3 linked regions of the Rattus norvegicus genome follow. The protein of the gene in region 3 binds, or shares a complex with, the protein of the main gene of each other region. Links are inferred from orthologs where the notes say so. Each region holds a gene or a part of one and is shown on either strand. Other genes may lie near its edges.

Evidence for each region. Proteins that work in one complex are often made in the same cells at the same time.
Region 1: Dhx16 (region 3) and Gpkow share a complex: the UniProt entries of both Homo sapiens proteins name them as parts of the minor spliceosome. The link is inferred for Rattus norvegicus from reciprocal best matches to the Homo sapiens genes DHX16 and GPKOW.
Region 2: Dhx16 (region 3) and Snrpd2 share a complex: the UniProt entries of both Homo sapiens proteins name them as parts of the minor spliceosome. The link is inferred for Rattus norvegicus from reciprocal best matches to the Homo sapiens genes DHX16 and SNRPD2.

Annotation. Positions count from the first base shown.
Region 1 is NC_086039.1:17,475,984-17,479,730, forward strand, and holds the start of Gpkow (G-patch domain and KOW motifs-containing protein), read right to left. Parts: upstream 2,316-3,747; 5' UTR 2,221-2,315; coding exon 2,051-2,220; intron 932-2,050; coding exon 774-931; intron 671-773; coding exon 546-670; intron 1-545. UniProt on the Homo sapiens protein: RNA-binding protein involved in pre-mRNA splicing. As a component of the minor spliceosome, involved in the splicing of U12-type introns in pre-mRNAs.
Region 2 is NC_086019.1:87,925,366-87,929,112, reverse strand, and holds the start of Snrpd2 (small nuclear ribonucleoprotein Sm D2), read right to left. Parts: upstream 2,705-3,747; 5' UTR 2,631-2,704; coding exon 2,629-2,630; intron 1,340-2,628; coding exon 1,160-1,339; intron 136-1,159; coding exon 1-135. Other genes in the region: Qpctl (glutaminyl-peptide cyclotransferase-like protein), read left to right, coding at 3,329-3,538. UniProt on the Homo sapiens protein: Plays a role in pre-mRNA splicing as a core component of the spliceosomal U1, U2, U4 and U5 small nuclear ribonucleoproteins (snRNPs), the building blocks of the spliceosome.
Region 3 is NC_086038.1:2,877,129-2,880,875, forward strand, and holds the start of Dhx16 (pre-mRNA-splicing factor ATP-dependent RNA helicase DHX16), read right to left. Parts: upstream 2,624-3,747; 5' UTR 2,489-2,623; coding exon 2,282-2,488; intron 930-2,281; coding exon 688-929; intron 583-687; coding exon 417-582; intron 206-416; coding exon 149-205; intron 1-148. UniProt on the Homo sapiens protein: Required for pre-mRNA splicing as a component of the spliceosome. Contributes to pre-mRNA splicing after spliceosome formation and prior to the first transesterification reaction.

The DNA of each region.
Region 1 (3,747 bases), on a different chromosome or scaffold from region 3:
ACCTTCACTTCCTAGTCATTTTTGGTCAGGGCAGACAAAGGGGACCCTGTTCTAACCCTGTCTGCTCAAGACTTCCCCTTAGCTCTCACTCCACTCATAGTAAAAGACAAAAGTCTGCTCTGTGGGTCAGAATGCCCTTTCTAATCTGGCCCCCTCTGCCTTCATCTACTGCCCACTCCCTCCCCATTCATTCCAATCCAGTAATAGGTTTCCTTAGTGCTCCTCAAACACTGCAGGCTAAAATCAGAACAAAGAAAAAAGAAAGAGGAAACAGACAAATGTGGTTCCAAACAGTGTACACCCTCATGGCATTTGTATTTCCTGTCCACTTTGTTGTCTACCTCATTCAGATAATCCCAGCATTCACGTACATTTTTAAACACCCTGCTTTCTGTTTTGTTAATGCTTCTAATAAGGGTGGAAGGAGGAAAGGCTAATTGGCAGGGCTTTGGGACATGCACACACACTTTCCCTGCTATGTGCAAGGAGACTAGGCAGACAGGGTAGAAGGAATAGTGTAGGAGGGAGGCAAAGGGACAGCTCACTGTCTCAGCCTGAGGTTCGCTGTATGTTCCTTCCCCAATGGGAGTACATCCTTTCTGGATCATGGGGATAGTGAGCGTGGGGTCAACACCTGCATTCTCCCTCTCCTCCAGAGACTTCTTGGATTCTAAGGAAGAATGGGAGGGATCAATGAGGCCATACCCTATCCTTCCAACTTCTTCCCCTTCTATCTGCACTAGGGCAGAGCAAAGAGGAAGGTTTTCACTCACCCTCAATGAGTTCCTTCACAGCCTGGGACAACACACCATCTGACGTCAACACGGTGCTTGTTTCTGAGGGCTTAGGGTTCTTGGACAGCAGTTGCCTGCGAGAGCCATTCTGGATCAATGGGATAACCAGCTCCTTTGGAGCTTCTGGAGGGTTCACACTGATGTGGATAGAGAAAAAGGGTTGTAGACATATTAGAAAGTAGAAATATCAGCCGGGTAGTGGTAATGCATGCCTTTAATCCCAGCAGCACTCAGGAGGCAGAAGCAGGAGGATCCCTGAGTTCAAGGCCAGCCTGGTCTACATGGAGAGACCCTGTCTTGACACCCCCTCTAAATAAAGTAAAAATATCAAGAAACAAAGAAAATAAACAATGGCCAGAAAGAAACAAACAAACAAAATAAATATCAATGCCTAGCCCTATGGACCATGTTCCACAGGTTACTATTAAAGGTCCACTCATCTTTTTTGAGACATCTCACGATGCATCCCATGCTGGTCTTATAAACTCTCAGTCAACCTGGTACAACTTCCTAGTGCTGGAAATACAACCAATACAAATGTATCATTTCTCTCCGGGGTCCCAGCTTTAAATGTGTCTTGTGCAAATCATTCTTAGGCCTTAAAGCATAATGACCTACAACTCACCACCTTTAGTCTAGCTTCTTAGTTCCAGGCCCATAAACTGCCGTTTAGAAGTCCCCCACTTAGGCCTCTAGGATCTTCCTTTCTTAATTATACTGATGATGGCCTCCCAAAACTTGACTTTGCCTCATTCTTCAAATCGGAGAAGCACCCACCATTTCAGTTGAGACAGGAAGAATCCTGTCATTCTCCCTCCTTTCCCTTTCTTAAAAGGCACACGACTTTTTCTCTGAGGAATTTATATCTCTGATTCTCAAGCCCCATTTCATCCACATAACAAACCTCCCTCTTCTTGCCCTTATTTTAGTAATTTCTTTGTTTTTTTTTTTTTTTAATATAGGCTCTCAAATTGCCCAGGTTGGCGTTCAATTCTTGATCCTCCTGCGCCAGCCTCCCAGGTCTTGACTTACAGGCATTTGCCGCCACTCCTGGTTACCTCCATAAATTTCCCGAAGCTGTTTCAGGCTTTCCAGGCCACTGTCACCAGCATAAATTTCTCTTACTCTGCCCTCCCGCTTAAGCCCATTTCACCGATTTCTAAAACGTGAAAAGACCCGGCGTTTCACCTTACTCTGCCCTCCCGCTTAAGCCCATTTCACCGATTTCTAAGACGTGAAAAGACCCGGCGTTTCACCTCTGCAGCTCCCTCCCTTCCACAGTCGCCAAGAAATCTTTCTTCTCTGGGGCCTGTCCTTCGCTGTCTCCGAGGTCTGCCAGTCGCCTCCGGACAGATGTGCGAGTGAAACCGAAAGAAATCGGAGCTGTGGACGCGGCAGCCGGTGGCGGACTCTCACGGCCCGCCATCTTGGCTCGAGTCCCAGGCGAGCGCTCTGCCTGCTGGGAAGTTTAACTCTAGTACCTTAAGGGCCGCCCAGGAACGCCAGAATCTATCCCAGAATGCAACGCCTCAAGAACAGGTGCCTTGAAGCCGTGGGAAACAGGAATTAGAGCTTGGGAACTCTTTAAACGTCATAGTAAGGTGCCGTACTAAGCATTCCGGGAAATGTAGTTCTTAGTGGTGTAGTCGCGGTGGAAGATTGATTAGGTTATTCCTGGGTATTAAACCGTTAGGAATTCAGTTCTACCCTCTTCCGACATGTACGCACACGATGTACATACAGGCAAAATATTTATATATACAAAACAAAATAAATAAATCTTGTATTTGACAAGCACATAATTTAATGTGCTTTTCCACAATGTGAATCTTACTGATGTAGAAAGTGTCAATAAGGTGAAAAACCAGGATTGTACCTGGGATGTGGTTCAGTTTGCAGTGCTAATAATTTAACTTAGGGCCTCGTCTAGGGAAGCACTGTACCATTAATCTGTATTCCTTTAATTTCTTTTTTTCTCTCCCATTCCCCAGTTTCTTATGCTTTCTTGTAAAGTGCCTTTGTTACACATAATCTCTATGTTGCACTTTTCTAACCCTTTTGAGCTTTTGGATGAGGCAGTGTCTTCTGGTTTTTGGCATGAAGAGCCAGGACCTTCTGGGTTGAAGCCTCTTTGCTTGACTCAGTTGCTTTTTTCCCCCAGCCAGAGCAGCACAACTGTTCATACTTAGCCCCCATATTTTTTGACCAAGATAACATTACAGATTTTCCATAACAGTGTTATAAATTATCCAAAACAGGAGATGAACATTTGTATAATGTTGCTTCTTTTTAATCACTGAGCCACACCCCTATCCCTGGGTGCGATTCTGTTAATTAAGCATTTTTTCCTTCTAGGATCCAGTTTTGATATCTCATACACTGCAATATAATTGTATGCCTCCTTTGTCTTCTGTAGTCTTTAGTGCTAGTTTTTTAGTCTTTGTCTTTACTGATTTTTCTTTTTTTTCTTTTTTTTTTTTTTTCGGAGCTGGGGACCGAACCCAGGGCCTTGCGCTTGCTAGGCAAGCGCTCTACCACTGAGCTAAATCCCCAACCCCGTCTTTACTGATTTTTAAAAATATAGCTCAGTTATTTTGAAGAACATAACGCCAATAAAGCTTGTTGTGTTAACTTTTCGCTATTAGTCTGAGGTTATAAGTTTGGGACAAGAATTTCAGAGGCAGGGCTAGAGAGATGGCTCAGCAGGGGAGGAAGGGGCCTATTGTACTTTTTCCCCATCAGTGATGGTTTGACGAGTTGCTTTGTTTACGAGGACAACAGCTGTTAGCATTTACTCTAAACTCTGTCCCACAGTTACTTGGCAACAGCTAGGTGTGCCAAACTGACTATAAAAGCGGCTGCTTGCCCCCTCCTCTCTCTCTTGCTCTGTTCTCTTGCTCCTGCTCCCCCTCTCTCCTCATTCCTCTCCCTTCCCTCTCCACATGCTCATGGC
Region 2 (3,747 bases), on a different chromosome or scaffold from region 3:
ACTGAGTCCCCGCGCAGGAACATCTTGGAGATGTAGCGGTCCTTGTTGACAGGCTTGGACTTCTTCTTGCCCTTGCCGCTCTTGGGGACCTCAGTCCACATCTCCTTCACATTTTCCAGCACCATGTTGCAGTGCCTGATGGGGTAAAGGGTGGAGGAAAAAGCCAGAGTGAGGGGGACATTCTGAATGTGTGAACCCTCCAGCAGCAGGCATAGGGACGGAGTTCAGGTTCCACAGTGGGGATGGGCAGGCTTCAAGGTGTGATCTCAGCCCCATCTTAAGTGTCCCTTCTGTGCCTCAGTTTCCCCCTTCTTGAAATGGAAACAGTCTACTTCATGGGGCTGATGTGAAGATTGGATGAAAGAAGCACTTAGGACCCCGGTACACAGTAAAGGTCACCAAAATGGCCCTGGCTCTGCAGTTAACTCTAACTCTGAGAGAAGCATTAGCTCCCTCCAAACCTTAAGTTCTGGGGTTAGACATGGTTCCCAACACGTGCACTCCAGTGCCTCATGGCCCTGTCCTCATGCAGGTGGACATGTGCTCACACTTGGATCAGTTCATTCCACGAATGCTTGCTTGAGGACAGTGACGATGAGCAAAGTACAATGCCAGATGTGTAGGACCACGTCACAAGGCAACTTCCATGCTAACTAAAACAAGGCAGGAGGGTATGCTTCGCCCCTGTAATCCTAGCGCTTGGGAGATGGTAGCAAGAGGATCAGAAGCATAAGGTTAGCCTCTGCTACATCTGTAGCCAGCCCAGGCTACATAGTTAAAGACCCTGCCTCAAAACAAACTAGAAAGCAGTAGAAGATATTTGACATTGATGTCTGGCCTACAGAGGAACAAACCAAACATCTTAATTCCTGTCCCTCCTCCTGCCGGGGATCTGATGACTTCTGAAGGTATTAGACATGTCCACAGTACACAGACAGACTCACCCGCAGACAAAACGCCCAAACACATAAGATAAAAAAAAAAAAGCCAAGCACCCCCACTTTCTAATTTTTTGAGCTAGCTGGGTCTTGCCCTGTGACCCTGGCTGGCTCCAACTGACAGTGATCCCCTTGAGTGCTGAGACTAAAGGCACTTTGTCACCTTGCCCACCTTATTACGACAATTCTTCTCAAATGACCTTCCCCAAGACAATGCCCACCTGTCAAAGGCCTTCACCCGGCCCAGGAGCTTCTTGTTGTTTCGACAGTTAATGAGCACTTGCGTGTTGTTTTTGACCGACTGTGTGAGCACCGAGAGGGGACCTGTGTTGAATTCCTCCTCCTCCCGCTTCTGCAGCTCCTCTGGGGTCATCTCACTCTTGGGTTTATTGAGGAGACTCCTGGATAGAGAACCCGGGGGGTGAGACGGGTTCAGGTTGGAAGCATAAGTGACCAAAGCTACATTGTCCAGTGTCTCCCCAGCCTGGCCCCCAAATGCCCTTCCTGGTACAGTCTTCTCTGGAGGCAGGAGAGACATTTCCAAGTTAGCCTGCTCCAGCTCATTAACCAAACCTCGTCCAGCCACTGTTGACCTTGAATTCTCAATTCTCCTGACTCCATCACCCAAGGTCTGAGATTACAGGGGGCTCACCATCATGCCTGGCACCTGATTCTTTCAAACCTCACTCTGTCGTCTTATCTTGTCATCTGCTTCCATGATATGTCCAAAAATTTGGCCATTTCTCTTCCATCCCACCCCACAACAGTGTCTCCCTGTATAAATAGACCTGCCCCTGGAACTCAGACTTGTCTGTCTCTGCCTCCAGGATACTGGGGTTACATCTAGTCTGTGTGTGGCTGAGGACCAAACCCAGGGCCCACAGTAGGTAAGTACTCTGTCCACTAAGCTAAATCCCCAGCCCAAGTATTGGGCTTTCAATGCCCAATACTTCTGTGCTACCTACTGGTGTTATTTCTTTCCTACTCAATTCTCCATTCACACTCCTGATCATCTAAGACATACTGTATGTACTTGTTTATTACTCTATGGCTTTCCTATTGGATTCTTTTTATAAGCCCTGAGAGATTTTTTTTCCTTGGTAGCAAGGACCTTCTATTTACCATGTGTCTAACTTACAGTCTACATAATATCCGCTCAATGAATAAACCATTGTAGTAGCCTGCTACTCTGACAATCTCTAATTAGGTTCAAAAGTCCTAATTTATCCTGGTTAAGTCCCATACGTCTCTATTTACTATTTCTAATAGTACTTCCTTCTCCGCCAAGCTCTTCATCCATTAAGACCACTTCTATATAAAATTACTATTACTTTTGTAAGCGGACACGCTATGAAGCTGGTCAAGGCTGACCACCAACTAGCGATACTCCTGACTCAGCCTCTCTAGGCTTGGGATTCTAGGCATGTGCCATCAGACTCAGTTTTTCCTTTACGGTTCATTTCCGCAAGCCTCGGTACCTAGAAGAGTCTTACACCCATTATGGAATAAAGCTGTCCCCTCTCCGGAACTCAAGAACCGAGGCCCCATGCCCGTTCTCAAATCCCTCAGAAGACATTATTTTTGCCCGAGAAACTCTACCCTCAGCTATGAGCACCCCATTTCGATTGTTATTTAGCTAAACCGTCCCCCTCCATCTTCGTGTCCCCGCCGAAGCCCGTCCCGGCCTCACATGGTGAAGGTTTCGCTAGCAGATCACTCCCGCCTCCAAGCGCGTTGCTTTAGCCTTTGGAGCACAGCAAGAGAAGGGCGGGACTTCCGTCTCCTGCGGCTGACTTCCGTCGACGCCTGCGCAATCACGACTGTGGGCGTGCCCTGTTACCATAGTGACTCTAAGGCTACGCTCTCCTGCAGAAAATGCCTATAGGGAGGATTTGAAGCCTCTGAGGATCACAATAGGTTGTCTGCTCATGCGGAAAATAAAACGGGGTCTGACTGAAATTGTTTTCCCGCCTAACTGTCTAGTTGGGAGAAGGAAAACGCAACCCGGTTTCCAAAATACCCGCCGACAATTTTCTTGAGGGCATGGCTTCAGGCAAACCAATCGGTTCCTTGTTTTAGGGATGGATGCCGCCCCTTTTTCCTTGAACCACAGTTTCTTGATCGACTTCCGTAAGGGGCGTGGCCCCGCGCCGGGGAAGGTTTCGTATATTCGGACACAGCTCATTGCCTGTTTCTCTCCCGTGGGGGCGGGCCTTAAGGTTTCCGCGCTCCCTTTTGGGTGGTGCGGCGCTTAGGAGAGCCAATCGCAATCGATTGGGGGAGGACGCAGTTACTGTGTTTCTTTATTGGCATTTGTAACCTCCGAGAGGCGAATCTTGGCCTAAACTCAAACCACCCTGCGGGGGGATTGGTTTCAGGGCAAAGCTGCCATGAGTCCGGCCAGCCGCGGGCGGTCTCGGCAGCGGCTCGGGGATCGCGGCCTCATGAAACCACCCTCACTTTCCAAGCGCCGTCTTCTGCCGCGGGTGCAGCTCCTGCCCCTGCTGCTGCTGGCGCTGGCCCTGGGCTTGGCTTTTTATATCGTCTGGAATAGCTGGCACCCTGGGGTTGAGGAGGTATCACGGAGCCGGGATCTGCGGGTAAGCCTTGGCTGGGGCCCAGCCAGCGTCATTTCCCTCTTTCCCTTCATATTGAGTCTCGGGTTAGCGTGGCCTTATCGTTTAGCCCTTGCCGCCTGTGCTATTTCTTTATCCATCACTTGAGCGTATGCCCCTTCCCAACAAAATAAGGTTTCAGGCTTGTTTTATGATTAGACCCCTCTGAAGAGGATGCATCCGCATAGAAACAC
Region 3 (3,747 bases):
ACTGCTTTTTTTTTTTTTTTTTTTTTTTTGGTTCTTTTTTTCGGAGCTGGGGACCGAACCCAGGGCCTTGCACTTCCTAGGCAAGCGCTCTACCACTGAGCTAAATCCCCAACCCCCAGATACTGCTTTCTTAACCTGGGGTTCTCACCATGGCTTTCCGGTCTTCCTCAGCCATCTTGAGGCGCTTCTGAGCCTCTTCATAAGCCTAGAAGAAATCATGTAGAGGGATGTGAGGCCAAGGATACCGTTCCTGTCAGGATGACAAGTGCCCTTCAGTGCCCCTCCTCTGTGAAGAACCTCTGTGGATCTCAACCGTGCAGGGAGGGCTTTAGCCAGAGAGCCCACAGGAGCCCTGGTGACAACTCTTGTCTTCCCAGAGAAAACTCTGCAGCCAAATCCAGGTTTACCCAACTCACCTTCTTATCTGACCGCTCCAGAACATTCCGGGTCCGGTCCTTGTCTCGTTGCCGAACCCGCTCTGCAAAGGCATCCCGTTCCTCCAAGTCCTGGAGACGCTCACGTTCTGTTCTCTCCCACTCATCCTCTGAGGCTGGCTTCTCCTCCGTGGGTGATTTACTGCCCCTGAACCCAGCCCAGTGCGTCATCAAAGTGGGGTATCGAGAGGGCTTAGCATCCCACAGCCAAAAGCATGCTCCAATCCCCCCTCTCTCCTTCCTTCTCACTTACCCTGTCTTCCTCTTCCCTGACTCAGAGGCTTCCTCCTCCTCCTCCTCCTCCTCCTGCTGTTTCTTCCTCAGGTGTTTCCGTCTCTTCCGCTTCTTCTGGAGGCTGCTCCCGTCCCTGGCCACTGCTTCCTCTCCGCTCTCGCTGTCCTCCAACAATTTATAAGATCGGTTCTTCTCCAGCAGGGCTCGGGCCTCTCGCTCAGCTGCACGAGCTGGCTTTTCAACCACGGCCTTCCGTGGCACCTGCCAGTAGATATGACAGCTCCTGACCTCCCCGGTACCCTCATTTGCCTACAAAGGGATTACTTTATCTTAAGCCTGTCTCCACCTTTCTCTTCTACATGGTTTGGTCCCATGGTCGCAGCTTCTGAACCTCCTTCCAGGAGCCTATTTAGCAAATGATTACTGAACACTACCCTGTGGTGGAGGGAAGAGGAGAAACACTCACAGGTTATGCTCTCACAGCCACACGCTGGCGGCGTATACACGAAACAGAACCTTTTCCTAATTTTAATGATTTACTTTTGTTTCTGTGTGCGTTGGCGTTCTGCCTGCAATATGTGCTGTGTGAGGGTGTTAGATCTCATGGAACCGGAGTTACGGTTGCAAGCTGCCATGTGAGCACTGGAAATTGAACCTGGGTTCACAGCTAGTGATCTTAATCCCTGAGCCATCTTTCCAGTCCCACGATAGAATTTTTTTTTTTTTAAAGAATTGGTTCTGAGCTTAAGTAGTTTATACTCTATAATCCATTTTCCTTTTTTTTTTTCTTTTTTCTTTTTTTCGGAGCTGGGGACCGAACCCAGGGCCTTGCCCTTGCTAGGCAAGCGCTCTACCGCTGAGCTAAGTCCCCAACCCCCCATTTTCCTTTTAAGATTTATTTTTCATTTATTTATGTGTACAGGTACTTGGACCTGGAGCTGAGATTACTGGTTGTGTGTCACTAGGCCTGGTTGCTAAGAACTGAACTCAAGTCTTCCAGATGCGCAACAAGCGTTTTGTTTTTGTCTGTCTGTCTTTCTGTGTGTCTTAAGGGTTTTTTTTTTTTTTTTTTTGGTTCTTTTTTTCGGAGCTGGGGACCGAACCCAGGGCCTTGCGATTCCTAGGTAAGCGCTCTACCACTGAGCTAAATCCCCAGCCCCGTCTTAAGGGTTCTTAACTGCTGAGCAGTCTCCATCCTATTTCTTAAATGCTAATTCTCATAGTTCTGTTCTTCCCAGTGACTCTTTCCCGGGGCTGGGGATTGAACCCAAGGCTTACAGTGTGCTAGACAAGCATTCTACCAACTGTGCTACATCCTTAGGTCTGGAGTTATGTACTGTAACTAACAAGCGCTCTAGCTTAAAAAATGTATGTAAATCCCTCTCTCTTGAGTCTTCTCCACAGACCTGTACGCCCAGCACCTAGCATGATACCTAAATAACAAAACCAAGGACGGTGGGTCTCTCTGTCATCCCAGTACTAGGGAGGCTCGCTGCAAGTTCGAAGCCAGCCTGTGTGCTATATCGAAAGTTGCAGGCACACTGCGTCTCAAAACAAAAGGATAAGCGTACGGGCCAATTTGGCTGTGAGTGGACTGCCCCGGCGGCACACACCTTGCTCCAGAGCTTCAGCGCGAAGTCCCGCGCCGGCCCGCCGAGGTCCAGGGTCTCTGTGTCACGCAAGCGCTGCACAAACTCCTCGGCGGAGGCGCAGCGCTGCGCCGTGCCGATCAGGAACTGCGCGACGTGCCGCTCGCTCAGCCCCAGCACCGAGTGCAGCTCCTCCTGCACCCACCGCTCCAGTCCCGCCGGCGTCGCCATGGCGACGCGTCTCGCTCTGGGCAAGCAACCGCGGAACGGCCAGGACTGCGGCGGGGCCAGAAGAGGCCTGAGGTGCCACGGCCTCGCACTGGCTGCGGTATAGACACCTCGTCCACAGTGCAAGATTGGGTAGTTCTACACCGTCTCCCAGGACCGCGAAACCCGGAAGGAATCGCATTCTTCCGGCCAGGGCTCGACGGTGGCTGGGCAGGTTCAAATTGCGCAGCCTCTTTCCTGATGCTTCTGGGAAGAGGCTTTCGTGCACAGCCTTGCCCGAGCTCTCTGTCGCCACCTAATGGTATGTGAGCCGGTGCTAATACAAGTCTGTGTTGACTAACTAGTTTCTACAGCCAGGGATAAAAGGAGTTCAAACCAGGTTTAGGAAAACAAGATATATAATAAGGGGCCGGAGAGACAGCTCAGCAAACTCGAGTTCGACTCCCAGCACTCAGATTCTTCACAAACAACCACTTGGGTTAGGACAAACAGTTCCAGGAAGATCTACCACCTCAGGCCTCTTCTGACACCTGTCTCTCTGAAGCTGGAGTTACTTGTGGTTGTGACCTGCCTGACACAGGTGCTGAGAATCAAACACGAGTCTTCTAAGAGAGCAGAAAGTGCTCTTAATCACTGAATCATACCTCCAGCCCTTCTATTTGAAGGGGCAGAGTGGAAGGTTATATATATAAACGTCTTACTTGCAAGTATGTATACCACTCTGAATCCGGGGGAGGGCATTAGATCTCCTGAAAATGTAGTTTTTGAGCCACCATGTGAGTGCTTGGAATTAAAACTAAGTTCTCTTAATTGTAGAGCATCTCTCCAGGCACCATTTAAAAAAAAAACAAAAACAAAAACAAAAACAAAAAAACACGGGGACTCATGTAGCATTAGCTGGCCTTACATGTACTACATAGCTAAAGATTACTTTGAACTCTTTTGTTTGTTTGTTTGTTTGTTTACATCCCCAATGCTGTCCCCTCCCAGTCCCGCTCCTGAAAGAATTCCTCCCCCTATTCGCCTCTGAGAGGGCAGCAATCCCCCAGTGTCCCCCCACCCTGGTGCAACCTTGAACTCTTGACCCTGTTGTTCCTACTTCCCAAGTGTTGGGATTATAGACATGTACCATCCACCCTCGACCGAAATGGGTAATTTATAGACAATCAAAAATAATGAAAGGCAGTGTAAGTAGATTTTATTTCACAGTGACAAGGAGCAAGAGGAATGGATTAGGTCAAAACATTCCACATTTTAAAAAG